Linked DNA regions of Alligator mississippiensis. The main gene of each other region encodes a partner of the protein of the gene in region 2 in a complex. Links are inferred from orthologs where the notes say so. Each region holds a gene or a part of one and is shown on either strand. Other genes may lie near its edges. The genes, in order: PHF10, SMARCD1 and PBRM1.

Evidence for each region.
Region 1: SMARCD1 (region 2) and PHF10 share a complex: the UniProt entries of both Homo sapiens proteins name them as parts of the neural progenitors-specific chromatin remodeling complex. The link is inferred for Alligator mississippiensis from reciprocal best matches to the Homo sapiens genes SMARCD1 and PHF10.
Region 3: SMARCD1 (region 2) and PBRM1 share a complex: the UniProt entries of both Homo sapiens proteins name them as parts of the SWI/SNF-B (PBAF) chromatin remodeling complex. The link is inferred for Alligator mississippiensis from reciprocal best matches to the Homo sapiens genes SMARCD1 and PBRM1.

What each region holds. Positions count from the first base shown.
Region 1 is NC_081824.1:146,950,631-146,960,758, reverse strand, and holds the start of PHF10 (PHD finger protein 10), read left to right. Parts: upstream 1-5,626; coding exon 5,627-5,896; intron 5,897-9,996; coding exon 9,997-10,103; intron 10,104-10,128. Other genes in the region: DYNLT2 (dynein light chain Tctex-type protein 2), read left to right, coding at 494-604. UniProt on the Homo sapiens protein: Involved in transcription activity regulation by chromatin remodeling. Belongs to the neural progenitors-specific chromatin remodeling complex (npBAF complex) and is required for the proliferation of neural progenitors.
Region 2 is NC_081838.1:5,929,662-5,940,440, forward strand, and holds the start of SMARCD1 (SWI/SNF-related matrix-associated actin-dependent regulator of chromatin subfamily D member 1), read left to right. Parts: upstream 1-6,373; 5' UTR 6,374-6,381; coding exon 6,382-6,549; intron 6,550-6,631; coding exon 6,632-6,819; intron 6,820-7,850; coding exon 7,851-7,893; intron 7,894-7,973; coding exon 7,974-8,096; intron 8,097-8,279; coding exon 8,280-8,402; intron 8,403-8,827; coding exon 8,828-8,944; intron 8,945-10,251; coding exon 10,252-10,353; intron 10,354-10,431; coding exon 10,432-10,593; intron 10,594-10,702; coding exon 10,703-10,779. Other genes in the region: ASIC1 (acid-sensing ion channel 1), read left to right, coding at 828-907, 1,491-1,595, 1,801-1,905. UniProt on the Homo sapiens protein: Involved in transcriptional activation and repression of select genes by chromatin remodeling (alteration of DNA-nucleosome topology).
Region 3 is NC_081835.1:38,674,084-38,683,972, reverse strand, and holds the start of PBRM1 (protein polybromo-1), read right to left. Parts: upstream 3,988-9,889; 5' UTR 3,961-3,987; coding exon 3,886-3,960; intron 3,681-3,885; exon of another isoform or gene 3,626-3,680; intron 418-3,625; coding exon 262-417; intron 1-261. Other genes in the region: GNL3 (guanine nucleotide-binding protein-like 3), read left to right, coding at 4,573-4,585, 4,916-4,974, 7,389-7,526, 9,712-9,825. UniProt on the Homo sapiens protein: Involved in transcriptional activation and repression of select genes by chromatin remodeling (alteration of DNA-nucleosome topology). Required for the stability of the SWI/SNF chromatin remodeling complex SWI/SNF-B (PBAF).

The DNA.
Region 1 (10,128 bases), on a different chromosome or scaffold from region 2:
CACAGTGAATTAGTGGAAGGTGGCTCTTGGAATTCAGGTACACAGGGAGCAACGGTGCCACGTAGCAATAATCTATCATATGCATATGTCAGTATATGGAGGGCATGTGGAGTTTTTACACCTTTTGTTTCGGTGAATTTGGTAACAGAGAGAAAACCACTTAATTACAGTTTTTACCTTCCAGGTTTTGGAAAGTCAGATCTCTTAAATGTGATTTTCTTTGAAGGAAAAACATATTTCGCGGTAACATAAAAATATGATATAGAAACATATATATAATTAATACAAGTAATATAATGTAATATAAAGAATTTAGTAATGCCCCTTGTAATTTTGCAGTTTTATATCCATTATTTTTAATACAGTCATATAAACTAGCAGTATCTCTGTAATGCTGCATGTTCATTTTACATTTTTAAAGTGAAAAAATATTTCCTTAAGACTTGTGCTACTTAATGAGTTTCTATGTACTTTGTTCTTTTCTCCCATATAGATTGCCAGCAGATGGCTCTGGGATGTTGCAAGGGATGACTGGGTTTCAGCTAAATGTGAAATGGAATCTTTTGTTGTATTGGCTTTGCTAGTTGCCTGTTATTTTGAGTAATTTTTCTAAAAGCTGCAACTATTAATGTATCTCACAGCATTGTGAATGTTTGTTCAAAACCTTTCAAAATATTATTGTTGAATGCTTTCTTTTAAATTTTAAAATAGCTGTTTTGTTAAAAATCCACATACTGTACTTTAATTCTTTCTAGTTTATTTGTGTGTGTGTTGTGCATATTATATGTCTACTGCATTTCTGTGTCTAAAAATTAATGATACGTTTAAGGCCACATCTTGCAAGGTACCAAATGTCACTTCCAGCAGTTGCTAAGCAATGGATTTATAACAAACTGCAGTTTAACAATTTCATTCATTAAAGCAAAATGTTCTGCCTTTGGAGGTGGAATTTGCAACAGAAAAGTAACATTGTATTTTCCCCTAGGTCTTGTCATATTCATCAAGCTGCACAGGAAGAGTTTGTACAGACCTGGTATAAGAAGCCACTGTAATGTAACTTATATTTAAAAAACTTTGATTAGATTAAATATATTTTCTCTCTCTACTTTAGTCAACTGTTACTTCTTATCCTTCTTGTTAAACAGTTTGGTATTTTGAAATTTGGAACATCCTGTGTAAATTTGTCTTTACCCAAATCTAAGTTATTCTGAATTTAAAATGACTTCCCAATAATTAGATTCTGATAATGGAAAATTCATAAATTTGTTGTAATTTTCCATGTACACAATTTAATTATTGGGATATTGTCTTAAAGTCATGGTCCCCACCACTTCAGCAGTAAAAGGATTGGTGAGGGGCGGGCAGCAGGGGGAATCAGATAGATAGCCTGACCCCTGTCCCTTGCTCCCCTATACCTTTCCTCCCCTCCACTTGCCCCACTGCTGCCTGCACCAAACAGTGCCTGAGTCCCCTTCCCCCTTGCTCTTCCCCATGCCTTCAACCCTTGGCACCTCCCCCCGCAGTGCTTTCCCCTTCCACTTGGTCCCCCTTGCTGCCTGCTCCCCAGGTTTTGTCCCTGGTCTTTCCCCCCACCTCTGCCCCGCCATCTGGGGCCCCCCACAGCCTTTTTCCCCTTCTGCCACCTACGCTTTCCCCCCCCACACAGCCACTGCCCCCTAACCCAGCCCCAATGGTTCTGGCAGGGCTCCATCCCTGCTACAGCCCAAGGCAGGGGTCATGTAGCTGTGTCAACCTGGCCTGGTAGCAGGCTGCTGCTGGTGGGTTGGCCTGGGCTGGTGCTGGAGCAGCTATATGTCCCTGCCCCAGGCTGGAGTGGGAATGGACCCTGTTGGAGCCAGAGAGTAAGTGAGGGCTCAGGGCAGGGGGTGGTGGTAGCTTCTGGGGGGTAGGTGAAGGGGTAGAGGCTGCAGGAGAGAGGGTAGGCAGCAGCTGCAGCTACAACCACAACTGTGGGTCAGTCAGAGCTGTAGCACTTGCCTCCTGACCCACCAAACCAGCCACCTTGTACTTGAATCTAAGATGAGGAGCATTCCCCCCCCCCCATTTAATGGAGGGGGGCACCTCATCTTGGATTTGAGTAAATGCAGTAATGTTTTGTACTACCAAGCCCTTACCTCTAACACAGACAGATCTTCAGATTAGAAATGTCACTTAAGCAGTAGCATAAGTGAGGTGGGATGGTGGGGGCACCAACCCTGGGCTCCAATTTAGAGAGGTGAGGAAACCACTGCCCCATGTGCTGCAGAACTGCCTAGTTACATGTCTGCTTATAAATGTTCACACTTGGCTTCAAGCTAAACATTGGGCCTCAGTCCAATCAACACTTAAGCAAATGAAAGCTTTCTTATTTGTGCATTTAAATACACGTGTATGGTCCCACTTCTGCAAATTCTTAAATATGCAAAGGCAGGGGAAGATGGCACCTTAGGACTTGTATACAGTTGCATGGAGTCCCAGTGTGTATAGAAAGGCATAAGCCGGCAGGGTGCTTTCAAATAAAACATATTCGATGACCTTTATTTCAAAGTGCCCTGCCGCCATTTTTTCAGCACTGGGATGCTGATACACGTGACACACGGGTGCTTTTAAATAAAGTGCCTGGCTTGCTAACTAAAGTGCCTGGCACCGCATCCCATAGCACATGTAAAAATGCCTGTAAAGACTAGGCATAAGCTTTCATAGGCTACAGGCTACTGCATACATTCATAGCATCTGATAAAGTAGGTTGTAGCCACCAAAAGGTTATGCCTTTCCGAATAAGTTAGTCCATGGATGCTCAAGCCCCAGCCCACAGGCCACACCTGGCTCCCAAGCCGTGTCACCCAGCCTGTAGGGCTCCCCAGTATGCTGAAAAACCTGGGGGGAGCACTGGCAGCATTAAATGTCACTTGCCTGCTGCTCAGTGTCTGGACCTAGGGAAAGCCCCAACACTGGTATAATTGCGGGGAGGATGATAGGGGTAACCACTGTGCCCCAACTTGGGGGGGATGTTGGGGAGATAGTTGCTTCTGACAGCTGTGTATTCACAATTATTTCAACAGCAACCTGAAGTTGCCCTTTTCACTTTGCTGTGGGTGCCTGACTGCATCCCTACATTGCTGGCCTCTCAGGCTGGGCAGTATGGCACAGCACTAAAGCCCAATCCCAGCACACAGGGGTGGTGCAGGACCTAATCCTGCTGGGCATGGGTGGCGTAATTTGCTAGGGCCTGAAGCCCAGTCCTGCCTGCGGACCAGGTCCCTGCCACTTATCTGGCCCACGGGTCCAAAAGTTTGAGCATCAGAGTTAGTTTATAACTGCTTTCTGCCTGACTTCAGACTAGTATGGCTAACTACCTCTCTTTAAATCTGTGGTTCTCAGCCTTTATAGGCTCAAGGCCCCTCTCAGAAAATGTCAGCTCTTAGTTTTCATTAATTTTTTGAGAGAAGATTATCTTGTGAATCATGTTTGCACACCTCAGAGTGCTAACACTATGTGGTTTCCTACAGCACCTTTGAAAGGATCTCAAGGCACCTGAGGAGCCATACTCCCTTGGTCGAAAATCACTGTTTTAAATATATGAGTAACTGACTTCTGTAAGACCACACATGGTGAATGAAATGGTACTATTCATGCGGGTAAAAACGCACATCTTAATTGTTCACAGGATCAGACTCTTAACTTTTCTGTAATGATATACATCTAATTTGTTCCGTCTTTAAATTACTTTAGTCTTGCTGGGAGACTTATGTGAACATGGGGAAGGAAATCCACACTTCAATGACTGAACAGATGTGAAGTTTGTCTTTCAGTGTTGTATATTTGCCATGGTGCTGTGCGTTTCACATGTTCTTTCTATTAAGCACTGTAGAATAAGTTAGCTGCAGACATTGCTCTAAAATATTCTTTTTCATGGTACATACAGTTGTCCAGTATGTTGTGATACACACCTTATTTGGTTGGCTGTTTACTTACATTTGCCACCTCCTTGATATTTCCAAAGACTGCATACGCTTGACAAAGGAGAATGGATCATTGCCAGTTTCCTTACTGTTTAAATCAAGACTGTTTAAATCCAATGCAAGACTTTCTTCCTCAGGGCTCTGATCACAAGGAGCCAGGCACAGCGACTAAACCCGCTCAGCCTGGCTCCATGTCATCAGAGCCCTGAGGAAGAAGGTCTTGCATTGGAAAGTTTGTTTAACTTGATCCCAACTGGCACCGTAAAAGACAACACCCTAAGAAATCCTTGCCCCTCACATTCATTTCTGGACCATCACGGCTACACCAGTGCTCTTGCACTACCGTAACATTAAAGCGTTACAATACCCCCCCCCCCAACTAGGAATGATTTCTTTTGTCACACCGGGCATAGCAGAGTTATGTGTAGTAGTCAGAGCATGAACGACTTGTGCCCCCAGTGGCTAGGAGGGTATGGCAGCAGCTGAAGTACAGCGGTTGCGGGAGGAGCCCAGTGGTGGTGAGCAAGGAGCTCCCACAGACACCGCCGGTGCTGAGTACTGACCAAGGGCTGGTGACCACCAGCAGCCAGCAGGGATTGCAGACTGCCCGTAGACATTGCCGGCACCGGGTGGCAAGCAGCGACTGCCTGCAGGGGTCAACAGTGTTGGCGGAGCCTTTTTGTAGGGGGTCCACCGCCATGCTCAGGGGGTGCATGTGTACCCGCATGCACCCCCTCTACGCATCGCCCCTGATTCAGAGTATTGTAGATGTTCAGTCCTCTGGGAACGAGGCTGTGTTTCTTGCATAGGCTTAGGAAATATATGTCGCTGTTGAGTTTGGCTTCTTTCTTTTTCATATTGTGAAGTTTCCATTTCAAACAGCAAAATGTGGTATCTTCCATGTTTTGAGGGTGTTGGTTGCAGCCGTGTTGATCTAAGGACATAGATCTCATAGATTTCACAGACATTAGGGCTGGAAGGGACCTCACGAGATTATCGGGTCCAGCCCCCAGGCGAAGAAGGAAAAAGGCTAGATATAAAACAAAGACACTGGCCCAGTACTCTGATCACCCAACAGAGGGGAATGCGAAGACAGTCAGAAAGCCAGCTACAATTCCCTGCCCTGGTGCCAGCAAGGCCCTGGCATCAGCTCACGCATACTGATTTGATCACAACCCCCACTGAGGGATGCCGGCTTTTTATTCCCATGTCACAGACCTGGGAACAAAGTTCAGGGTGGTGTTGCACCACGCATTGCCACCACTTAGGCCTGCTGTATGGATACGAGGGCGCGCCTCCACACGCAGTCTCTGAAATAACCATGCGGTAAATACAGCACCTTACACCGACTTGAGCGAAAGTTTGATAGAAATGAAATTTACACCCAATTAGTTAGGGCGCCGTCAGGCACGTGTAGACACCGGTCTATTCCTGCTTAACCCGCAGTAAATTCAAGGATGCACGTGTGGACAGCCCCGGAGGGTACCACAGTGCTGCGGCACAGCCACGCTCTCTATCCTCGGAGGTGTTTCAGACGGGTGATGCCGTGCCCCGTCCCGGGGGAGAGCGGCCCCGGGGGAGGGGGCCCAGGTGCGGGCGGCGCGAGGCGGAGCGAGCACAGGGGGCAGGCCCGCGGGGGGGGAGCTGCGGCGGCGGGCAGGGGGATGCAGGAGGCGGGCGAGCGGCGCGGCGGCCGGGCCCGGGGCCGAGGCCGAGGTCGGGGCCGGGGCCGCCCCCTCTCCCCGGCAGGGGCCGCTGCTCGCGTCGCCGCGGGGGCCGGGGGCGGGGCCGTGCGCAGCGCGGCGGCGGCGGCAGCGCCTCCCCCCGCCCAGCCCGAGCCCGCGGCGGCGGCAGGGACTGGGGTGATGGCGGCCGTGCTGTCCCCCAGGGTGTGCGACAGCGACCCGGCCACGCCCGGCGCGCAGTCCCTCAAGGTGAGCGCGGCCCGAGGGGCGCGGGCGGGGGAGCCTCGAGCGCCGGCGGCAGCTGCGCAGGCCGGGCCCAGCCCCGCGGCCCAGGCCCTCCCCCACGGCCCCGGCCCCGGGGGGTGCCTGCGTTGCCCTTGGGTCCCGGGGAGCTACCTCAGGAGCAGCAGCATAGCTAGATTCCTGGCGGCCCCGGGTGAACTTGTAGTATGCGGCCGCCCCTTTGCAAGAGATGATGATGGTAATAATAATAACAATTGCCATTTTGGCCTCCCCCCTCCCCCCCTTTCTTTTCACGTCCTGGGCGGCCGCCCTGTCTGCCCGTGCCTGTGTCCGGCTCTGTTTGTGAGCCAAACCCAGGGCTTTGGAACAGGAGTCCAGGGCAAAACCTGTGGCTGCAGGGGCCCGCTGCATCCAGCCACTTGCCACCCCTATGCTGCCAGTTTCACGTCTGGCTGCTTGCTGCCCCCGCCACTGGCTTTACACCTGGCTGCTTGCTGCCCCCCTGCCCCCAGCTTCATGTCTGGCTGTGCGCCACTGGCTTCTTCAGCTGCTCGCCGCCCTCCCCTGCGGCTGGCTTCTTTGTGGCAGGGGGCCCCAAAAAATTGTTGGTTGGCCCTGTCCATGGTGGTCCAAGCATGGCTGTAGACTTGTAGAGCACTTTGCTCCCCTCTTTTTTTGGGTCTCTCTCTTGCTCTCTCTCTCGGTCCTAGAATGGCTGGTGGGGCGTGACAAAAAAGACTGGGCTGCAGGTGAGGTGGATCTGGACAGAGAAGGAAATGCTCCAGATTTTGCGGAGGTGTGGAGTCATGTGTTTAGGAGATGACCGCCCCCCCCCTCCCCCCCCAAACAAGCCATGCTTTACAAAAAGGCTGGTCAGGCTCAGGCATCTGTCCTGGAAAGCATTGTTTCTGGCAACAGCTGGGGAGGTTGCAGAGAATAATCAGCTGAGCAGGCGCTCCAAGCAAGGTGCTGCAGTTAAGAGGTGACATAGACTTGCTCTGGTATTTTTCTGCAGTCCAAAAAAAAAAAAATGGAGAAAGAAAACCAAGAGCTGGCAGTTTCTAAGGGAGCTTCCAGTCTAAGGAGCAGGGCCTCCACAGGGGCCTTCTAAAACGGTTGAGAACCACTGTGCTACGCTGACGGGCCCTCTCTCTCCTACTTTTTCTGTTTCCCATGCATGAATTTAGAGGCTGGGATCAAGTTGTTCTTCAAGCCTTTTTAAAAAAATTTTTTTTTTTAATTAAGATACGCAGCCAAGCTTATTTTTTTTCTCTTGTTAGGAAACCTCTGTTCCATTCCTCTCATTATTCATATGGAGGGTTTGTAAGTTTTCTCCCATTTTGAACCTTCCTCCTTAAATTAAGGACACCAGAACCGGTCGTGGTATTCCAGTGGCAGAGAGGTGGTGTAATTGCACTACAGCTGCTTCGTGTCATCTCTCTAAAATAAATCCAAGAATCCTGTAGCATCTCGCAGCATCTCATTCTGAGTTTGTGTTCAACTAATTATTTCCCTGTTGTTCTTGGAATCATTGCTTTCCAGGGTGGAGGCCTGAGCCTTTCTTATAAAGGTGGCTTTTTGCTCCTAATTCATTACTTTAGACCTGGGTGAAATCCAGAACTTTTCATTCTCAATCCAGATCTGTGTCACCTGCAGCCAAATTTTTTTTTATGCTAGACAGGTTTTGGAGTTGGTAAGAGAGTACTGTTAAAATAATTTTGGTATCAAAGATAATGAATTCGAGAGGTAAGTAAAGATGTTCCTCCTCTGCAAGCCCTTGAGGAAAGTGCAGCTATTTTGGGGGTAACACTACATCAAACTTTAGATTCAATCCAGAAATGGAAACAGTAGGTCTAAGATGACAGTTATTGGCCTTAGCATCTGTCCTGGCATTGTTTCAGTTATTGTTGGAATTGGTATGTTTGCTGATGGAGATGGGATAAAAATATTCCAACAAAAATCACCAGGGCATTATGTCTGTGTGCTCATCATATCTACTTCTTAATATGATGTGTGCATAGGCCCGTGGTTCTTTCAGCCTTCACTCTTAAGCCAAAGGCTTTCTCATTGTCTTTGTGCTTTCCATCTTTGAACTTCTATTTTAGTGTCAAGGCTGAGTGAATATATTGTATTGATACTTGTTTCTATAGTTTTAGGGGAGGGGTAGGCAACCCCCAGCATGGTTGCCAGAGCATGGCACATGTGCCTCAGGTTGGACAACAGGGAAGGGGTTGCCACAACAGGGATCAGGCCCCTAGCAGCTCCCCCACTACGCACTCCAGCATGCCAACATCTTACAAGTCAAGGTTGCGATGTTTTTGGCACTCTGCTCATAAATGTTGCCGGCCCCTGTTTTAGGGTATCATAATAAAACTATTAAGATGTGGAGTTTCATCCACTTCTTTTCTGCTTCCCCGTTCCCTTTCCCTTTAAAACTTTTCTTCTGTTTTAAAAAGGATGCCATCAACTGAAGGTCTGTTAACTTAAATCTGTTTTTCCCTGCCAGTTGTTGTGCAGTGTTGTCTGCAATTAAGTTTTGCCAGTGTAACTGGATTGGTGAGGAGTGGGTATGTGCATGTAGGAAGGACTTATACACCAGAAAGACAGTGGTGCTGCTGAAAAATACCATGGTGTTAAAACCTTCAGAGTAAGGCAAGTATAGAGCGCCTCAAAACCTTATCCCTCACTGCCTTGTGGCCCTGATAAAAACATGCCCTTAGCGAGGCATTAGGCAGTCAGCAGCAGTTCTTATCTGTTGCTCGGTGACAGAAGCTACAACCATCAAGGGACTGAATGTTTGGACTAGGTGGCCTTTGGATTCTGTCTCAATGGTCTAAAGGCAGGGTGGTGGGTCTTGGGCAGCCTCCACTCCTCCATACTCCTGCCCAGGTGTATGCATCAAAGGTCTTGATGTGATGGTTGCAGAACTCTGTACAAGCAGATTCATCTGACACCTTATTAGACCTCTTACATGTACACCATGATCCAGAGGATCAACTGTTTCCTGTTATTCCTACCACCAGTCTAGCTGTACTGGTAAGCCCTTTAAATGGAGAAAAGCCCTGTCTTTCCCTGTGTTATATGTGCTTTTGTTTTCCTTGATGCTGTATGAAAGACCTATACAAATGAAAGGGGGAAATGGGCTGTAGATGAAGATCCATCAAACAAAGTAAACATTAGATTAGATGACATCTTTTTGCTATGATTACATACATTCCATTTTATTTCTACCTTTGAACATATGCCCCTGAGATCTCACCACAGCCTATATTCTAAACAACATCTCTTCTTTTGCCATTAAATCTCTTGAAATCTGGCTGGCAAGAAGTGCTATTGATGTTATCATTTCTATTCTGTGATAGCTCTGTTTTGAAAAGAAGGTTCCTATTACCTGTATTTTTCCAGCTGCTTTGCATCAGTTTCTTTCTCTACATTCTCTTCCTGAAAGGCATTTACTCTGTAATGCTCTGTTCAGAGCTTTATGTAAATTATGTATGGTTCCTTTTTATACATCTAAGAAAGTGAGTTTTACTGATACTTTAAGGGTGATTATATACACCCTCATTTTGCTGCTGGTGCCATACTGTGTTCCTTGATTTATATCAGCCCCAAAGAAGGACTGAGCACCTCTGCATTGCCACCAGGCATCCTGAGAAGGATATTTATATATTTGGGGGAGTTAGCCATACTCCCTGTTTTCTCTGTGATTTTCATAGAGTGCTGTCTCTGCTGATGGAGCTGTGCCATTGAGTGCATGGGAGATGGGCAGAACCAAACCTTTGTCTACTTCCCACTCCTTTTTTTTTTTCCTCACCTGATTTAAAGGGTTGGTTGGGGACAATAGAGTGGCTTAGCTTCCCTTGTACTTTTACCCATTAGGCAAGTAGCCAGCCAGTGCAGGAGAGCAAAGTGCTGTGCAAACTAGAGCAGTTTGACTTATAGGAGACCCATTTGAAATAGTGCAGTAGTTCTAGGGGGTAAGTTTATTCTGACACAGAATGGCTGACCCCAGAGTTTATTGTATTATTCTTTAAATAGTGGTATTATAATATATTGAGTACTGGCTAGATTTTTCTTAATGCTTGTGCTCCATGCTTTTATTGCAGGATGACACAGAAGAAAATTCAAATGATGGCAGCCAGCCTTCAAAAAGACGACGTATGGGCTCAGGGGACAGTTCTCGAAGTTGTGAAACCTCTAGTCAAGATCTTGGGTAATATCATTTTACTGAGGTTTTC
Region 2 (10,779 bases):
GGCTGTGGGGAGCAGCGAGATCTGGGGCAGGGAGGGCAGTTGGGGACCCTAGTGCTGTGAGCAGCATGACCCACCAGCCTGCTCGGCAGCAGCAGAAGCCAGGCCCGCTCGCACCAGGCTCCCTCCTCAGCCTCCAGACACTTGGGTTCTTTGAATAAAGGATCTAGAAAACGCCGGTGGCTTCATCCGCTCCATCTGTGTGGAGCAGTCGAGGTTTGGGCTCAGGGAACAGGCTTGTGGGACAAGGTCGCCAAGTTGCACCTGTGTCACCTGGGCACCCAGCCTCAGCTGAGGACCACCACGGCCTGTGGAGCAGCGGGTGAGCCATGGGGAGGCGGAGGGCTGCAGATAAAGGACAGGCAGTCGGGTGAGATGTGCACGTGCAGTCACAGCAGCTTGTGGGGACTCACACTGCACCTCTGGGACTGGAAGCACCCAAGATAGGTGGTGTCCCCCCCCCCGGGGCACAGTCCCTGTCCACAGTGGGTCACAGGCCATCCTGGCTTGCCTCTTCTGGGGCACATGCCCCCCCCACCGCTGCCTTCTCTAGGGTCAGGCCCACAATCCCCAGCTGATCTTACCAGGCATTGGCCTTGCAAAGGTCCCCATCACAGGCAGGTGCTAACGAGATTAGTGTGAACTAACGGCAGAGGGATCCGGCCTGTCGCTGCAGGCAAATGAGTCACTACAACAGGTGCAGCTGCCGCCTCCTCCCTCCCACCTCCTTTCTTTTCTCCTTCTCTGCTTCCATCCCTGCTGTCACCCAGCCCCTGGGAGCAGAGCCTGCTGCTCCCCCCTGACTGCCTCTCGTCCCCTCTCCTCTGCAGGTGACATTGGTGGGCAGATGGGGCTGTTTATTGGGGCCAGTATCCTGACTGTGCTAGAGCTGGTTGATTATGTTTATGAGGTGAGTTGCCTCGCTCTCCCTTCTCCTTGGCTTTGGAGCCTGGTCGGCCACGGGGGGATAAAGCCCCCTTCCCTGCCGTGCAGCAGAGCGCTCCCCAGAGGTCCCCTCCCTGCCAACCTGCTTGCCCAGACCCTGCCTTGCCCAGAGCAGCTGCTCCCCTGCTCCATGTCCCTTGCCTGCCTGCCTGCCGGCCGCTCTTCGCCTGATTTTACCCTCCAGCCCCGTCGCGTCAGCCTGGGCTTTTCTGCTTTGCCACTCCCTGGGCCTCTGCCAAGCTTGGGCTCCTCTTCCAATCCTTATGGACCCAAACGTCTCCTGCGAAGACATCCCTCCCACCATACTCTTATCCCACCCTTCCTACCCAGACACTGGTGCTGTGGGGTTGTGCTCTCAGCCTTCCCAGTGCGCGTGCAGGACGTGGAGTCACGCTGGATCCCCTGCTGCAAGCAGGATCTGGCCTGTGCGTTTCCCGTCGCAGACGTCCCATCGCTGGCGACCTGGCCCTTCCCCAGCTTTGAAGAGCACGGGGCTGCTCGTGTCCAGAGGGGCTGTCTCAGCCAGCAGATGCTCTTGCTGCCCCCAGGTTATAAAGCACAAGCTGTGTCGCCGGGGCAAGTGCCGAAAGAACCACAGAAGGAACAACGCGGACCAGGGCGTTGCTCTGAGCATGGATGATGTGAAGCGCCACGTGAGTACTCGAGGCCCCACCCTGGTGCCCGGGGCTCGGCCAGAGTTAGCCTCCACCCTCCAGCGCCCACATAGCGGGGGCATCAGGGCACTGAAGGGCTGCCCCTCTAAGGACCTTTCCCTCTCTAGCAGTGCTCGCGTTGCCATTGCTGGGGGGTTTGGGATTGTCTTCACATGCTCCTAACTTGCCTCTCCCTTGTGCCCAGAACCCCTGCGAGAGCATAAGGGGCCACCCAGCTGGCATGACATACGCAGCCAACATCCTACCTCATCACTCAACCCGGGGCACTTTTGAGGACTTCACCTGCTGACTCGACGTCTGGATGTACAACCAACACTACCAAAGCCCTCTGGAGAGCTGCCCCTCTCCCCGGGAGCGTCAGCGGAGGGGACACACCTAGGGACCTTGCTCCTAGCCACGGTGGGACACGGACAAGAACGATGGCCTCGGTGCTGGGCCAGGCAGCAGATGGTTGTGTTGGGTTGGTTTCTGACCCTGGATACAGACTCCACAGCAGCTGCTCCCCTCCCCACCCCTAGTTTAGAGACTCTTGGACATGCCAGCCCAGCTACACCGTGACGCGACGCTGGGGGCGTCTCTTCCTCAGCGCCCTGCGGGGAGCTACCGCACGCCGGGCTGGGCCCAGGCCTTGCCCCGCTCCTGCCCTCGCCTCCCCCTTCGTTTTTAACTAAAGAGAGCAAGGAACCCAGAAGCCAGGAAGAGTCAGCTCTGTGGCTGCGAAGGCACCAGGGGGAGGAGGCCCTCCCCCTTCCCCATCCATCCATCTGTCTGCCTGCTTTCCCTTCCATCCTGCTTCCACGGGGAGCCCTGGGAGGCAAGGTCGGGTGTAGGGAACCTGGTCCCTCTGCTCGAGTTGAGCCAGCTCTGCAGAGGGCCTTGCTCCCACCCAGGAGGCAGCCCCCGTGGGTGCTGGGCTGGGTCCCCCCTGCTTCAGCAGGATGCTCCAGGTTGTCATCCCTGGGGCAGGTGGAAGAGGGTGGCGAGAGCTGACCCCCGAGCGCCTCTGCTGCCTCTTGGGCACAGCCAGAGCGCTCTCGCTCTTGTGTCAGCCCCAGCGCATCTCACTGTGTCTCGCTGAGTATAGGGTCCTCGGGAGCCTGCTGCCATAGGAAGGGCTCTGCCCTGTGCCCAGCGCGCCCGCTGTCCTCCAGTGCACCCGTGCACGGTGCTGCGAGCTGAGCCGAGGTCACGCCAGCTCCCTCCGTGAGCTAGTGTCGCTCTAGTCCTTCTATCGCCATCCTCTGCATGAGCTGCCCTGCCCCAGCCCTATGAGGTCTCTGTCCCCAGCCCCCACGGTGTAGAGGGCTGAGGCCCCCTCCCAGCCTCCACTGTGGCTGGCCCCAGGGGTGGAGGAGGGCTTTCCAAAGAACCCGAGGGGCCTCGAGCCGCTCTGCCCTCAAGCAGTCCCCAGGTGGATGGGAAGTCGCTGCGGAAGGGGCCTCTCCACTGCCTGACGAGCCCCCTGCACAGGGGCGAGTGCATTGGGTGGGCAGGGGATGTGGGGGCCTGACCACATCTCCGCGATGCCCGTTACCGCGCAGGCAGTGGTGGTCCAGGGGGAGCCTGCCCAGTAGCATGGCCTCTCAGCCCAGCTGCTCCCAGGCTGCCCCTCAGCCCGTGGAGCAGCCGGACACAGGTGTGACCCCCCCAACAAGGCCCTGGTTCAGCTTTCCCAGGGCAGCCACATGCTGGCAGGTGCCTGCCCAGATCCTCGTCCCCCAGGGAGTACGGGGCTCTGCGCCCCTTCTGCCAGGCTACGCACAAGCCCACCACGCTCCTGGAACAGCGAGTCTGGAGCCGGGAGCGCCTGCAGCCAGGAGCGCTGGCACCCTGGACTGAGCCAAGCACCCGGGGCAGCAGCTTTGAGCAGGGCAGGCGCTACGCGCACACCCCAGCCCGGGCCTCAGCCGCCCTCCCCACGCCAAGTAGTCTTACCGCAGGAGGGGGGTGTTGAGGTACAGGGCTCTTTGCTTTGGGGAGGGGGTGGACACCTGCCCTGTCCCTGCAGCCAGGCTCCCCCAGGCAACAGCTGCTCCTGGAAACACAGGGCTTGGGCACGGTCTGGTGCAGAAGTGGCCAGCAGCTGTCCTGGGTCTGGGTCCCCTGGGGCCTCTGCTGGCCGGCTGCCCTCAGAGGGGGTTGTGCTCAGGGAGCCAGGCCCCCTCCATGGACCACCGCTCCTTCCAGACCCACCGCAGGCTGCTGGGCTGCAGCTGTTTGTCACAAATACCGCTGCAGCAGGGGTTGCCGGCCCAGGAAACCTCAATTGTTTTGTTCCACGGTCAATGAAAAAGCCTTCCCGTCGCCCCCGACACTGGGCTCCAGCCCTGTCGAGCTCTGCCCCATGTTCAGCAACGGCCCTGCCGGGCTAAAGTGCTACTTATCTTTAAGAGCTTTTGCAATAAGTCTTTTTTTTAATGATGATTATTATTTTTTTAATCTTTCTTTTACTTTTATTGTTGTTATTTCCATGTCCTGACCAAAATTAGGAATTGGGGGGGTCAGTCCTTTGTATCCTGCAGTCACCTGAAGACAAATGGGTCGGCCACGTCCATAAATTTTCTTATGGATCTTTCTTGCAGTTTTGTTGCTTTTCATTTTATTTTTTGGTTTTGTTCTCTCTCTCTCTCTCCCTCTCTCTCTCTTTCTCTAAAGCTTTTAAAGATGGGGCTTGGATTTGACCTCGATGCTCACCTGTTGAGGCATACAATTTTTTTATTTGTTTGTCTGTTTTTATTATAATCATCCTCATTTTATATTTCTTATATATAATATATATTACTATATATATATATGTACATATATATATATATATACCTCTATATGCGCCATATCAGTGTAGATACCCATCCAGTAGCATTTAGGCCTTGATATTGTGCCATTTTCTGTTACCGATCTCTGAATGCCTTCAAGTGTATAAAGTGTTGAATTATCTCTGGTATCTGTACTATGTACACACATTTTCATAGGAAGCACAATAAGATGACAGATGCATTGTACATCAAACCTGCTACTCTTAGCAATGATATAAAGGATGGTATAAATCATGAAGACAGCCTTCTTCTCTCTTGCTGGGCTGCAGGAATCAATCTCCCAGGGGCGGGTAGGCACTGCACACAGGCTGGGCTCCCTGCAGGGCTGAGGTGGGCTTCTCAGCCGGCCGTGGAGCGGGGCCGTGATGCGAGAACAAGCTCCGGCCCTGCCCTAAGTGCACGCTTAGATTGTGAGAGGCCCAGAGACTCCAGGCGTGCTTTTGTAACAGCTCACTTAGATCAGGGGGTCCCAAAGGAGGGGCTGCTGGAAGCACTTCCAGTCCAAGGGACATCTTTTCAACTATTTACTGGCTTTGTCCTCTGGCGGCGAGTCAGCGATTGGGGAGGTTTGAGCAAAAGCAGAGTCTGTTTTCAAGCGTGTAGGAAACACACTTTTCCCATTGTTAGCGTGAGCCCGCTAGCCTTTTACCGGGGTCGGTTTGGGGCAAGAACCTGACACTGAAGGAAGAGCCTGTCTCACTTGTCTGACTTAGTAGCCCTTGTGCATGCAGGACCAAGTGTACTGTGCAGACTGGGACATAAACAAGAGCTCTGCCCAAAAGCCTTTTCAGCCGAGTGTTTCTCTGGAACAAAGAGCAGTGCATATAAATTATGCTTGTGACCCACTTCTGTTGGGCCGGGCTGGGGCTAGGCTGGCCAGGAAGAGGCGGTTTTTGTCTAGGAGAGGAATGGTAGAAGCAACATCCTCTGAAAGGAGTTGACAGACCTAAATGAACTGGAGCCAGCCGTGAAGCAAACCCCAAGTGCAGGCATAGCATAGCAATGAGAGGAGCGGATCGCACCCGCTCCTGGGGCTACCGCAGCGATCTGAGGACCGGCGCGGCCGCGGCACGCAAGCCGTCGGCAAGTGCTGCCATCAAGGGCGCGCCGCGCCTTTGCGCACGGTCCCTGGCGGCACGAAGGATACAGCTCACTCCCACCAGCCTCCACCTCATGTCAGCATTTCGGCACGGAGCTGGGACCTGGGTTGTGAGGCAAGAGGGACCCGCGCCGGGCAAGGGGCAAGGGCCTGCGGGCTGGGCCAGCGCACGGGCAGGGCGCGGCACAGACGCCCCAGCTTCCTGCCCGGGCTGCTGTGGGGGGGCCAGTCGCTGCCACCGGCCGTGGCCCTGCAGCCCGCGGTCGCTGTCACGGTGCGGCGCCGCGCTGCAATAAGGGTGCGGAAAAACTCCAGCGGGTCCAGAGAAGAGGCGCCCCTACGATGAGGGACTTGCAAGGCAAGCCAGAGGCGGAGAGGCGGAGGGACTTCGGTCTCAAGAGACGGCGGGGAGGCGACTTGATAGCGGCTTACTGCTATCTCAGAGGAGTGCAGCGGGAGCTCGGGGAACAACCCCCGCGAAGACCAGGACCAATGGGTGCAAACTCCTGCAAGGCCGCTTCAGGCTTAATAGCAGGGAAAACTCCTTCACAGCCCGGGTGTCCCGAATAAACTCCCTCCGGAGGTGTGCAGTCCCCTACCCTGGAGGTTTCCCAGAGGAGCCTGGACAGTCACCTGAGCCCAGCTGTCTGCCGGCCTAGTGCCACCTCCACCGCGTGCACCCATTGCTCCTTCCGCCACCGCGAAGACCTGCCTAAGCGCCCCGCCCCGCCCCGCCAGAGGGCGCGCGCCGCCGCCCCCGGGGCGCTCTAGCCCCGCCTCGGCGCCGCGCTCTATGGTCCGCTTCCGCTTCCGGCGCGGCGCCCCTCCCGCCGCCCCCTTTGTGCGGCACAAGATGGCGGCGCGGGCGGGCTTCCAGGCCGTGGCTCCGAGCGGCGGCGGCGGCGGGGCGGCCGCGGGGGCCGGGGCGCTGGGGCCGGGCGCGCCGGGGCCCCCCGTGCGCATGGGGCCGGCGCCGGGCCAGGGCCTTTACCGCTCCCCGCTGCCGGGGGCCGCCTACCCGGTATGGGGGGGGGAGGGGAGGCCGGGGGGGCCGGGCCGCGCGTGGGCCCGCCACCGACCGGCCCGTGTGTTTGTCTCCGCAGCGCCCGGGCCTGCTGCCGGGCAGCCGCCTGGCACCGCAGGGCCCGGCCATGGGCCCGCCCGGCTACGGCGGGAGCCCCGCGGTGCGGCCCGGCATGGCCCAGGCCGGCCTGGACCAGTCGCGCAAGCGCCCGGCGCCGCAGCAGATCCAGCAGGTGCAGCAGCAGGCCGTGCAGAACCGCAACCACAAGTAAGGGCCCCCGCGCCCGCCCGGAGCCGTGTCCGCGAGCGGGAGCCGCGCTCGCCTGCCTAGGCTGCGGTCTCGGGGGTGGGGGTGGGGTCGCTGGGTGGCGGCGGGCGGTGATTTCGGGCGGCGGGCCGGCCGCGCTTCGAGTTTTGGCAAGCTGTCGCTGCCCCGTCCCTGGTTGACACCTTAGGACCAGAAGTCCTCACCCTTGAGCTTTGCCACCAGGAGCCCCTGAGGACTGGGGCGATGCCTGCGGTCCTCCCCTTTCTCTCTCCGCCCCCCCTTTCCTCCTCATCTGTGTTACCCGGGGCGCGGGGAGGCAGGAGCAGCTCGAGGGCAGAAGCCCCTTCCCGTTGGGGCTCGGGGTGGGTGGGACTTGCTGCTGCGGCTGTGCCGTTCTGCCGGTGGCTTCCCCTGGGTCCTACTGCTCCTGGTTCCTGTCATCTTTGACAGGCAGCCAGGAGCAGATTCATATTCATTTTGTACATTTTTTTTTTTTTTAGGGGACCTGCGGGCCGTATTTTGCCCGCCCCCGAATTAGGTAGAAATAACGGTACGCAGATGGTACAGCAAGGGCAGCTCTGGGTTGGTTGGGCTTTTTTCTTTTTTAACTTCATAGCAGTCATTGTGCCTTGGTGAGCGGTGGCAGCCCAACGTTATCCGTCGGTTGAGAAAAGGATTGACTGCAAAATCTATCAATCGATGTTAAATCAAGAGTGCGGAGTCGCTTTGTACCAAAGTAAAATACTGCCCCCAGCTCAGTGCAGCCCTGGTTCCCCTGGGAGACCGGAGATGTTCAGAGACCCGGGGGGTCTCAGTGCTGCAGAGCTTGCTGTGCCGGAGCCGAGTGCCAGCCCCGCTGTGGCTAGGCGCCGTATGCGTGGGCTGACAGTATAACAGCTGCACTGGAGAGGCCAGGGCCAAGGATGACCCAGAGCATCTCGCAACACAGTTGTAGGTCTGAGGGTAAAGCCCCTTCCGGTCTGAGGGGCAAAGGGGTTGCCACCCTAATGCATGTGTCTTTTTTTACGCAGCGCTAAGAAGAAGAAAATGGCTGACAAAATTCTACCTCAGAGGGTGAGTGTGGCGCGTGCGCGCAGTCTCCAAGCTCTCAGCGGTTTGAGCGGCGTGTTTGACTGGCTTGTGCTTTGCTGCAGATTCGTGAGCTGGTACCCGAATCTCAGGCCTACATGGATCTGCTGGCATTTGAAAGGAAACTGGACCAGACGATCATGAGGAAACGGTTGGATATCCAGGAGGCCTTGAAACGACCCATTAAGGTAGAGGAGGAGAGCGGCTTACGCCCTTTGTCTTGCCCAGACGTGGGATTAGTTTACATGGCAGCGTGCTGGGGAGGTGAAAGGCAGAGGGAAAGCGTCTTGGCTGCGGGCATGGCATGGACGGGGTTATTGGCATTTAGCGTTTAGGGTTTTGCCATTAATGTTTTGCTGATACTTTCTTAGCAAAAACGAAAGCTTCGCATCTTCATTTCCAACACTTTCAATCCGGCCAAGTCGGATGCAGAGGATGGTGAGGGGACTGTTGCCTCGTGGGAGCTCAGGGTGGAAGGACGTCTGCTAGAGGATGTGAGTGCGAGAGCTGCAGCTCCTTTTGGGAGGCCAAGGGAGGTGCATCAGTGTTCGGATAATGTGGGTTGAGTGGGCATAAGATGGGAGTCCCTTGCTAGTGGGTTGTGATTTAAAAGGTTTGGACTTGCAAGGGCAGACCAGCTCTTTAGAGGCTGAGGCTGTAACTAGGGGCCTCCTTGGTGTTCAGTAAGAATGAAACAGAAATCTGTTGGGGGAGGGTAAGGGTAAGAGAGCCGTGCCTGGTTCTCCAGCCTGTGGATAGGGATGTTTCTAAGGCAGATTTATGGGGAAAGGGATAAAACACACAGTAAAGAGGCAAGTGTTCTGTGGGCTTCAGGTCATCATCTTCATCAGCCCTGTTATGTATGCTCAATGGCTGGGGTGGGCAGCCATGACACTCTTCCTCTTCTGTGCTGCTGCAGTCAGCTCTGTCCAAATATGATGCCACCAAACAGAAAAGGAAGTTTTCATCCTTCTTTAAGTCTCTGGTCATCGAGCTGGATAAAGACCTGTATGGCCCAGACAATCACTTGGTGGAGGTGAGCTGTCCTTCTTACTGTCCCTGAGGGAGGGCTGCAGTGTTGGCAGTGGGGAGGTGCGTGTCTTGTTCCTGGGAGATGTGGTTTTGTCTAGGGGCTGGCACAAAGGGGTGGGCCAGGAACTCGAGAGGTTGATCCTAACTGTGCTGCCGGTTTGTTGCGAGTTTGGGACATGTTGTTAACATTTGTGAAATGGGAAGGATGCCGAGTTAAATCTTGAGTGGGGGCTGGTGCCTGTTGCAGAAGAGAATGAATTTTTTAGGTCTGCAGCTTTCATAGTTTATGAATCTCTTTAAATCTTGAGATGAAAGGTAGCTCCTCTTTGAACTACAAATCATTACTAGAATATCAGTGTGCCTCTGGAGCGTGAGAAGTGCCGAACTACAAAGCATGATGCTGCGGGATCATGGAGCACTTGCGTGGCAGTCGTGTACGTGTGTTCTCAGTTCTAGCCACCTGGCTCAGCCGCCTCAGATCTGTAACAGTGCAGGCAGTGGATGAAGTCTGTTGTCCATACGAGTAGCTGTTGCATAACACAGCATAAGTGCCTGTCCTCCATTTCTCCGTACTCGGAGTAAGGCTGATAACTCGGGGAAGGCAGCAGAGTATGTCCTGCCCTGCTGTCACCACTGAGGGTCTTGGTCCTGAGGGATTTCTGTGCACAGTTTACCTCTGAACACAGGGCCGGAAGGGCTCCTTGCCATCGTGTCCACTCTTCTGCTGTGTTGGGCACAAGGTTGTATCACGTTCCATCTTACAGCCATTAGTCTTGTTTGCCTCCTCTGCTCCCGGTGGAAGGCTGTTCCAAACCAATTGATTGTTCTGACACGTTACAGCTTTCTCAATTCCTGTCTACATTTATTCATGGCCAGTTTATACCCATTTGTTCTTAGGTTAAATAGCCTTTTTGTCTCCTGCTGCATTTGTAGCCGTCATATTTCTACTTGGCATTTGTTTTGCAAGAGCAAACAAGCCAAACTCTTTCAGTCCCCGTCTTGGAAGATAGGCTGAGCAAATTGGTTATCTGTTTGCTTTTCTGGTGGACTTTCTAAGCCCCAAGGCTAGGGTTTTGTCCTCCTTTCAGAAGGAATGTTGGCGTGGTCTCGGTGCTCTCTGGCCAAATGCAGCGCACGTGGCAGAGATTGCCCAAAGCCAGACGGACGAGATCTGTGTGGGGAGGGACCTCAGTCATCTGTAAATGGCAGTGTATAGAAAGGCATTCTGTTGGGCAGGCAGTGGGGGCAAAGGCAGTCGCCTAGCAGTGTGTGTCCGTAAGTCAAGCTGTCTCCCTGGTTTGCTCATTGCAGTGGCACAGGACTGCTACTACCCAGGAGACGGATGGCTTCCAGGTGAAGAGGCCTGGTGATGTGAATGTGCGCTGCACTGTCCTCCTGATGCTGGACTACCAGGTAGGCAGGCTTACATGATGCAGCTCAGAGCCAGGGGACAGCCCGCATCTTCTCATCTCTGTCATGCTTTTGTCTCAGCCTCCACAGTTCAAGCTGGACCCCCGCCTGGCCCGTCTCTTGGGGATACACACCCAGACCCGCCCGGTGATCATTCAGGCACTGTGGCAGTATATCAAGACCCACAAACTGCAGGACCCCCATGAACGGGAGTATGTCATCTGTGACAAGTACCTCCAGCAGGTAAAGGTGCCCCATGGCTGGGGCAGGGAGCCTGGGGAAGTTCATGCCTTTGGCTCCTGCAGTTCTCCAAGCTGCATATTTCCCACCTCCAGCTTTCTCTCTGTTGCAGATATTTGAGTCTCAACGAATGAAGTTCTCAGAGATCCCCCAAAGACTGCATGCTTTGCTCATGCCTCCAGAGCCAAT
Region 3 (9,889 bases), on a different chromosome or scaffold from region 2:
AGCAAGGGAGACTAGGGAACGCTGCAAAGTCCTTAAAAAATGTAAAATATCACTTTGGGAGGACAGAGGTAGTCTGGAAAAAAGACACAGCGCCTCAGCTATGGAACATTATGTTACTGTCACCCTTATTTTAAATGTTCTTACCAAATATGTCTTTTTACAGCAAAAAATGTTCTCTTAATCGTTTTAACTTTTCAAAAGATATTCCACATTTGGATTTATGCAGCAAGATAAAATGTGTGCATGTAAAAAGGTACTTACAGGATCTACAGTTGGGAGATTAGACAGTCTCCGCCTTTTCCTGCTCGGGCCTGGTGTATTTGTTGAGTGGTGACCATCATCAAAATCTCCTCCACTGACACTGCTGGAAGGAGAAGTAGCCCTTCGCCTCTTGGAACCCATGGAATCCAACTTCTTCTATAATGAAGAAAGATGTTCTTAAACTTAAGGCATTGTACACAAGTTTTCTGGTGACAGCTAACTACTGACTATCAGTTAAGGGTATATAGAGTCAGGAACATTTGCAACAATTTACTTATGCATTGTTACCTAATGAGATTATTATTAAGTAAACTTTCAGAGTTGCATTAGTGGTTTAAGTCTATAAAATAGCACTGTTGCACACAGGTCAAGGAAAGTTATTATTTCCCTCTATTCAGCACTGGTGAGGCCACATCTGGAGTACCAAGTACAGTTTTGGGTACTCCACTACAGAAAGGATGTGGACAAATCGGAGAAAGATCAGCAGAGGGTAACAAAAATGGTGAGGGAGGCTGGGGGATCATGACTTATGAGGAAAGACTGAGGGAACAGGGCTTATTTAGTCTAGTGAAGAGAAGACTGAGAGAGGATTTAATAGCAGCCTTCAACTACCTGAAGAGGTATTTGAAAGAGGGTGGAGCTAGGCTGTTTTCACTGGTGGTCAATGATAGAACAAGGAGCAACGGTCTCAAGTTCCAGCAAGGGAAGTTTAGGTTAGATATTAGGAAAATTTCTCTCACTAGTGTTCTAGTAAAACACTGGAACAGGTTATCAGAGAGGTGGTAGAATCTCCAACCTTGGAAGTGTGTACCTCCCAGGTTACAGAAGTTTTATAAACCCGATTAGACAAAGCTTTGGCTAGGATGATCTAGTTGGGGATGGTCCTGCTTTGAACAGGGGGCTGGACTAGATGAAGTCCCTTCTAACCCTAATTTTCTATGATTCTATGAATCAAATACATTTTGAATTATATACTGCTACCCATCCCTGCAGGGCTGGGGACTTGCACAAAGTGCTGCAATTATCTAGCAGTTACTAGGATGTTTTTTTAAACTATAAAAGCTTATGACTCCTCATTCCAAAATAATGATAAGATGTATTGTCATGATACATGAGAAGTTCAGAGATAGTTTTACAACTCTGATAAGCTAAAAACCAAAACATACAGTTAATGCAACTAAGAGTAAAATCACAACTGCTATGTAATATCTAGTCCCAGAATCACAAAAACAAACAGACAAACAAAGGATTTGGGCCACAATACAGGTAAATTTGGTTGCATTCTCAAGCTACATCATTCTCACTTGAAAATTAGGACTGAGTGCAAATTGGATCACTCAAGGAGTCTTCTCTTTTTGTCCCTGGTCTGAATTTATTAACATCACTATTGACTGAAATTATTAGGCATCCAGCAACTACTGAGTTTACTATGAAACATATTGCTGGATCCTGCCAAAATGTTAATGGCAAGGTGTCACTATTACAAAAAAAATATTTCCAGTGTCACCCATGCTCTTTTCACTTTAACAATGTATTTTTCTGTTATATAATCTACAGTTTATATAAGGTGAAGTAGTGACATAGCTATGTTCATGTTTATTCCAGTGAACAATTCATTACAAGTAAACAAACAAGATGAATGAGCATGAGGTTGGATTCACTAAGGCTAAGATAAAGAAAAATAAAAGGCCAGGCAGGGGAAAGGAAGAAGGGTGTGTATATGATCAATAATTTACCAGATTTACCAGAGTACAACCAGCACCTCGAAAAGCCAGTCTCCTCATTGTGTCCAATGGTCAGGTTAAAGTACTAAGAGATGGCAAGTCTTTGAAAATGTCAAATCAGCAATTGCATTAATAGCCAAAGCTGAAAGAGAAGAAAAATGAGAGAAAAAACAGAAGAGGGGAAAGGTTAAAAGGAGAGAGTAGAGAGAAAAAGAATTTAAGAATAACAGTTGAGAAAAGCCATCACAAAGGCTGGAGAAAAGAGGAAACATAAATTTGGAGGGGGTTATCAAAAACTAAAGGTTTTCTGCATACGCAAAGCATATACATTTCTGGAACTTTTAACTAAAATGTTTAAATGCTACTATAATGTGAGCCATTCACTAGCCCGAGTAATGCAAGTATCACTTCATCTAGTAGCCTAAGTGTAAGAGGGAGTAAGTGGAAACTGTAAGTTGATGGTACTATAAAAAAGTAGTACAGTGACAGTAAAAAGAAGAAAAAAAAAGTCTTACAACCCTAAGTTACTAGGCAGACTTGTAGCAATGACCCACACCATCAAGACTCTCCGGAAATTGCTGATTCTACTTTATTAAGCCTTAATTTAACCCCCGTTCAAAAACCTTCAGCTATATCCCTATTGCATGACAGATTTTCAACATATCATACCATGAAATAATGAGCTTGATTAAACACAGATCTACTAAAATCAAAAGTGTATCAAGTCCAGCATGGAAAATATTAATCTATACAGTTTTGTCAGCAGTGAATACCTGTTCTAAAACTGTTCTTCTAAAAAAACTGTATTCAAAGAACCAAAAAGAATAAAATGATTTTTACTCATCTAGTATGTAGTACTTTATCATTTGGAATCAAAATATTTCATGTATCCTTGAATAATGCACCAAGTACTAGTGTATCTCCACTAGAAAATTGGTCCTTATATGAAGCAAAGGATCTTGAGGACTATAAAATAATCTGATGGGATTCAAGTACAGCATCTCCACACCACTTATACAATACTAGTAAATCCTAGCCATTATATTTTTTTAAACTTCTTTAAAAGGTTAGGCACCTGAAGACCCCACCTACAGGCAGTCACTGAAGAAAATTTCTCTTCCTAATACTAAAACATAATTTCTTCTAACAATATCTGAGGATGTAATATTCTGATGTACTCCATTAAGGTCCCACACATCTATTATCAAAAGTAATCCCCATGTAAGAATACTGTTTCTACACATCTTTAAAATATTTTTAAAAGGAGCTGAAAAGTGTTTTTTAAAAGTCTAAATTTTTACGTACCCTTCAGAGTAGCTAATCAAAGCATGTATATAGATGCCACAAAAACTATTTTTGAAAGTTCCCTGGATTTCTATAAAACCATTCAACAGATAGTTGACAAACACAACAAAATGATGGGGAGAGAATGTACCATATACTGTCCTGCAGCATTACTGACAAGACTAAAACTGTGTTGTAACCTGGGAAAGCATGTCAGAGGGTTGTTTCAGAGGATAAAGCAGGAAAGAAGTTAGCTAGGCCGCACAGTTGTCTCCTCAGCCTTGGAGAAAGAAGTGTACAAGACAGATAACAAGTACACAAAACAGAGGCTTGTCCCAGTTTAATTCTTCTCCTACCAAACGCTGCAGGACTCTGTTGCTCCCGTGGCAGGTTCCGGCAGCAGCGGCACTACTGTGACAAGACGGAACAAACTTTGAAGGGAAGCGCCGCTTCCCTGGGGCCACGCACGTCTTCGGGGCCTTGCACAGCCGTGGCAAGTGCGCTCTACCCTGCTGCCCGCCCCGACCCCGCGCATCGCCAGAGTGCACCGGACCCCTCACATCGCCGGAGACGTCAAGGCGTCGCGGCCGGTCCCTTCCCAGCCCCCGGCTGTCACCTGCGCTAGCGGCAGCAGAGCCCGCCTGCCCATCCCGGGGCCACCGACAGCAAACCGCGTGACAGCACCGGGCATCGAGGCTCCCGGCGGCGGCGGGGCTTCTCCCTGCGCTGACAGCCCCCGCCACCGCCCCGGCCGGAGCAGGAGCCTCGTGGAAGCACTGCGGCAACGCGTCTCCCGCGGGGGAATCGCCCCTCAAGACACGGGGCCAGCCCGGCGCGGCCGGCAGCGGGGGGCCCTCGGCAGTCCCGTGGCGCGGGGCGGGGGGTCGCCGCGCGAGGGCGGGCACCGCCGCCGCCACGAGCGGGCAGGGCGGCCACACAAAGGGAAGCAGAGGCCTCCCGGCTACCGGGCCCAGCCTCGCCCCGCCCCGCCCCGTCCCGCCCCGCCTCGGCGCACCACCTCACCGCTCACTCCCTCACCCACCCAGGCAGCTCCGCTCTGCCGCCCGCTACTGCGGCCGCACTCGCCCACCGCTGCCGCCCTGCCGGCACAGCCGCTGTCGCCCCTCACCACCGACCCTGCCGCTGCCGTAAAGCCCGCCCGGCCGCCGAGCGAGCCCGCCAGCGCGACAACCCGTGCAGCGCCTAGGGGCGGGACGCGGAAGGGGCGGGCGGTGCGCTTTACGGCAGAGCCGCCAGGTTCGGCTCCGCCGCCTGCACGCGGGGTGAGCGCGCGGCAGCAGCCATGAAGAGGCCTAGTGAGTGCGGGGCGCTGGCGCCGCCTGGCCGCGCGGCCCGGGAACGGGAGTGGGAGCGGGAGCGAGGCTGTGGCAGGGGCCAGCGACTGGGGGCCGTGGCCGTGGGAGGTTCGGGCGGGGCCGGGACTGGGGCGCGCGGTAGTGGGGGCCGGGCCAGGCCGGGCGGTCGCGATCAATCGGAGGCTGTAGCAACGTGGGGCCGGGACTCCGTGCCCAAGACCTGTGGCCGAGGCCCGGCCACACTCGGGCGCCCGTGGCCCGCGACATCATCGGGTGCTGATAGGCGGCGGCCTTCGTCTGCCCTCTGTTAATGGCGTGTCCTGATTGCAGAGCTTCGGAAGGGCAGCAAGCGCCTGACCTGCCACAAGCGGTACAAGATCCAGAGGAAGGTGGGTCACCAAGCGGGAGCGGTCGGATTCAAGGGACCAGTTTCTGCCCCAAGCACAGCATAGGCAGGCGGGAGGGGGAAGGCAAGCAGGAAAGCTCAGGCCAGGTCTTCGCTGCCCGGCTTCCCGAGGGCTTTGGGCTGCAAAGCACTACGTGGAGCCTCATTGTGTTCAGCTACATCGAAGTCCTGAACAGACTTGTTGCATTTGCAGGGGAGGGCTGTACACTGTTCAGCACTCACCTACACGTTCCCCAGCTGGGGCCCCGTAGTGCAGCTCCTAGTTCTTTCACACCGCACATGTTCATGGTTCCACTGTTTGTCTAGGGCAGTGGGGCTCAGTAGGGCTGTCCAAAATTTCAACTGGTGTTTTATTTTGAAGCTGTTTCGGCGCCTTTTAGCTTGGGACAGTGAAATCGAAATGAAACAACAGGCTTTGAAATGAAATGAGGGCACCCAAAATGTTTCAAGTTTCAAAGCAGCCCAGTGGCGGGAGGTGGGGGAGAGCTAGGGCTGTACTCCGAGCAGCTCCGCAAGCCCCACGAAGCTCAGCCCAGCAGCAGGAGAGCCAGTGGTGGAGCTGCTCTGAGCGCAGCCTTTGTTCTGAGCGCAGCCCTGGCCAGTGGCTCTCCCCTCCTTCCCGCTGCTAGGCTCAACTCTGTGGGGCTGCAGAGCCTCTTGCTGCCAGGCTACGCTCAGAGCGTCTCTGCCACTGGATCTCCCTGCCTCCTGCTGCCAGGCTGCACTTTGAGTGGCTCCACCAGCTCCATGGAGCTCAACCTGCTCTCTCAGCGCTGCCAGACTCCTTCCAGGGGTCTGGACCCCCAGATCTGAGGTATTTCTAATGTGCTGCGTTATCAAGAGCTCTAACATAGGGCTGTCTTCTAAGTAGCAGAGGGTTTCAGACCTTGCACCAGCACAAGCAATAGGCTGCATGCTGTGGGGGGGGAAATGCTGGCATGGCATTTTTTTTGGCTGATAAAGTCACTGATAAATTCTGTGTTTATGGCATGCATGGGGCTAGGAATACAGCCCAGCAGCTTAGAGAGCAGCCTCCTGCTGGTAAGCCTGGGTGGGGAAGGAAATTGAGGCTCCCAGGGTGAGGGAGGGATGGGGCAGGTGCTGCCCCATCCAGGGTGGTGAATGCAACCCTGGGGCATGTGGTGGAGCCACGCACTGCCATTCCAGAGGGCGGGGGGGATGGCTTCCTGCCGCTGTGCTCACCCTTGGGAAAGGCATGGGGGCATGTGCTGCCCCAGATTTGTATGCAGGGCGAGGGCAGGCTGCCCACTGCAGGCTTGGAGCCAGAGCTGCACTGGGGTGGGGTGGGGTGGGGTGGGCTCAGCTGTGGGGGTACAGGTAGCAGCACTGAGAGTGGACTTTGGGGACTATGGCCATCCCCAAATTCCCCATAGCCACCCTTCCCAGCACTGCTGCTGCCTGCCCCGCACAGCTGAGCCCACCCCACCCCCACCTACCCCAAGTGGAGCCCTGGCCCAGCCTCCACCTTGGGGAAGAGGCTGGTGCAGATGCTGAACCCTAGTGCACAGCGGGCAGCCCATCTTCACCCCCTGCACAAATCTCGGGGGGCACATGCCCCTCATGCCTCCCCCTAGGGGTGCGCACAGTGGCAGGGGGGAGTCCCTGCTCTGCACCCCCTAGATGAGCTACCCACGGCTCTGCCTCGCCCTGGGGTTGCATCCGCCACCCTGGGTGGGCAGCACCTGACCCATCCCTCCCTCACCCTGGGGGCCTTGATTTCTCCCCCCCCCCCCCCCCCCAACCTACCAACAGGATGCTGCTCTCCAAGCTTCAGGGCTGCATTCCTGGCCCAGTACTTGACATGCACGCAGCATTTATTGGTGGTATTATGGGCCAAAAAAAAGCTGAAGGCTGATAATGTTATTTTTTCTGTTATCAGTGCTGATCCAATATGCGACTGATATATCAGTGCACCTCTAGTCTTTACCTCCTTGCAGAGGGGCTGGGACATGGGGGTGGGATAATTACTTAGATCGGCATTAGCCTGAGCCTGAGTTAATCTACCTAGTTTATCTTATCATGAGGGAATGCTCAGAGGATCTGGCAGTACTCCAGGGTGTCCCATCGCCCTGGCTGAGAATCATTGCAGTAGAGGTTATTTTAAGTGGATATGGGAGTCTGAACGGTGCTTGAAAATTGCCTTCAAGTATATTGTAAAGAACAGATCTTCATTGGGAGGGGCAGTGGCACAGATGATGTAATACTGTAGATCTTTTGAATTTTAAGTTTGTAATACTTAGGATTCATTAATTTAGCTATAGCTACATGCGTGTTGATTTTGCAATTAAAAATCTTTCTCTGGCCACATACTTATATGTAGGCATTTAGCTTTTCCTATTAAACTGAATTCCAATATATATTCTTTCTTGATTACAGGTACGGGAACACAAGAGAAAACTCAGGAAAGAAGCCAAGAAGCGTGGAAACAAAAAGCCCCGAAAAGATCCAGGGGTTCCCAGTGCTGCACCATTCAAGGAGGAAGTTCTTCGTGAAGCTGAACAAAGGAAACAAAGGGTAACATAGTTTAATTTATAGTGAAGTGAAAGGGGGTATGAAGACAGCCTCACTTTCAGGGGAACTTGGTGCATGTCATCCTTCACTTTACATAGCCTTAATAGCCATTTACTTGGATGGGGGTGTTTAATCTAGTACCCAGTGCTGTCCACAGCCTGATCCCAGTGATTGGGTAGGGACCTGTGTCCTGGACTTTGGGGTTTCCCCATGCCGGATCTCTGTGCTCAGCTGAGTATTGGGATCTTTCATGTATCAACCCCAACATGCCACACTTTCACTTTAAGGTGTGATACAAACAAGCCACAAAGATATTATATATGGAATATCTTTGTGTCTTATTTGCTATATTAATATCCCATAAATCGGCTTTAACATATGTACTGTTTATGGCACAATTAACATCTTAATCATGTCCTAAATGTAGTGTATGCCAGGGCCCCAAGATCTCTTTCCTGTATTGTAACATTTAATGTAGATCCCTAGTTATAGGTTGCATATTATGGTAATTAATTTCACAATTTCAGATTTGAGCTCCTTCAGGATGCTAGGGTGAATGTTGTCAAGTCCTAGTGATTTGTTACTGTTTGGTTTATCAATCTCCTTTAAAAGCTCGCCTTGTACCTCTGTTTGGATCAGTTCTGCTGACTTGTCTGTTGGGAGAAATGGCTCTGGTGAGGGATCTCTCTAACATCTTCATAATAAAGTTCTGTTGCAAAGAACTAATTTAGTACAAGTGCTAAAATTCATGCAAATTAAATTAATAACATTCCAAGTTGAGTTTTCAACCTCTTTTTAACAAATGTACCCCTTCTGCCTCAAAGTTTCACCTTGTACCCCTTTATTTTTTTTCTTGTTTTTAAGGAGGTGGGGCAGATTGAGACCTCAGTGGTGGGGGAGGGAGTGGGGCAGGGCACAGGACTGAGCCTCAGTCAGTGGGGGGCAGCTCCAGCCACTACATGCATGGAGGGCATGGGGTGATGTGCCTCCAGATCTGCACGTGGGGCGAAGGTGGGCCACTGCAGGCTGGGGCCAGGACAGTGCCGGGTTCTTCCCGGTCAGGGGCTGCACTCAGGATGGGCAGTGGCGGTGCTGGGAGGGGACTACGGGAGGGGCTGCAGCCACTCCAGAATTCTCTGTAGGCCCCCGCCCCCCAATCCTTCCCCATGCTGCCCTGGCTCCAGCCCGCAGCTCACCCTCACCCCACATGCAGATCTGGGGGCACACGGCCCCTATGCCCTCTGGGGGTGCTCATAGTGGTGGGAGCTGCACCCCTCTGTCCTGCATTCCACCCTGGCTGTGCATCACCTGCCCTGGCCCCACTCCCTTTCTCACCGTGGGGGGCTACAGGAAGGGCTGCAGCCACTCCAGAATTCTCCATAGCCCCGCCCGACCCCTCCCTCCCAGCACCTCCACCACCTGTCCTGAGCGTAACCCAGCCCAGTCCCATGCCAGGAAGAACCCAGCGCCACCCCAGCCCACAGTGGCAGCAAGCTCCGTCCTGCATGCAGATCTGGGGGCACACACCGCCCATGCCCTCCCAGGGGTGCATGTAGCAGCAGGAGCTGCTCCTGCCCCAGCTGTGTAGCACCTGCAGCTACCCCAGCCCCACTCCCTCCTCCACCATTGAGGCCTTGATCTGCTGCCCTCATGCCCTTTCCCCCACAGCAGACTTACCCGTTGGACCCAGCTGCTATCCATGCTGCCGGACTGTGCTGGTTGCTTGCGTGCTGCACTGTGGCTTTGCTCACATGGAGCATTTATTTAGCATGTTATTGGGCATATCAGTTCTGCGTGCCCTCTACGATCTTTTTAAGTACTCCTAGGGATACGCATACCCCCAGTTGACAGTCACTGTTCTAAGTGGCTATGTGTATCCTTTTGTAGTGGTCAGAAATCTACAGTCTACAGGCTGGATCTAGCCTGTGAAGAGATTTTATTCAGCCCACCAAGCTGGGGTGGCAGAGGCAGCCAAGTTGAAGGTGACAGCCTGCCTTTGGAATGGGCTATGTTAATTCAGCCTGCCATTGTCCAAAGGTTGCTGACTCTCTTCTAGAGCATTTCTCTTCCTTGGGGCACTTTTACAAACAACTATTCCTGATCGTAAATTCAGGAAAGAGACTGCTTTTTTCTTTTTTTTCTGCTTGTAATTTTTTTTTTAAATCTATTTTTGTTTTATTTACTCCAGCTTGAAGAACTGAAACAGAAGCAGAAGCTTGCTAGGCAAAAAGAATTTGAAAAGAAGAGAAAGCTAGAAGCTAAAAAAGATGCTACCAAACCAAAAAAAGATCCAGAAGGAAAGGTAGGTGGATCTGGAATAATTTTTCTTTTGTGAACAGCCTGGTTCATTTGCAGCCAAGAAGACA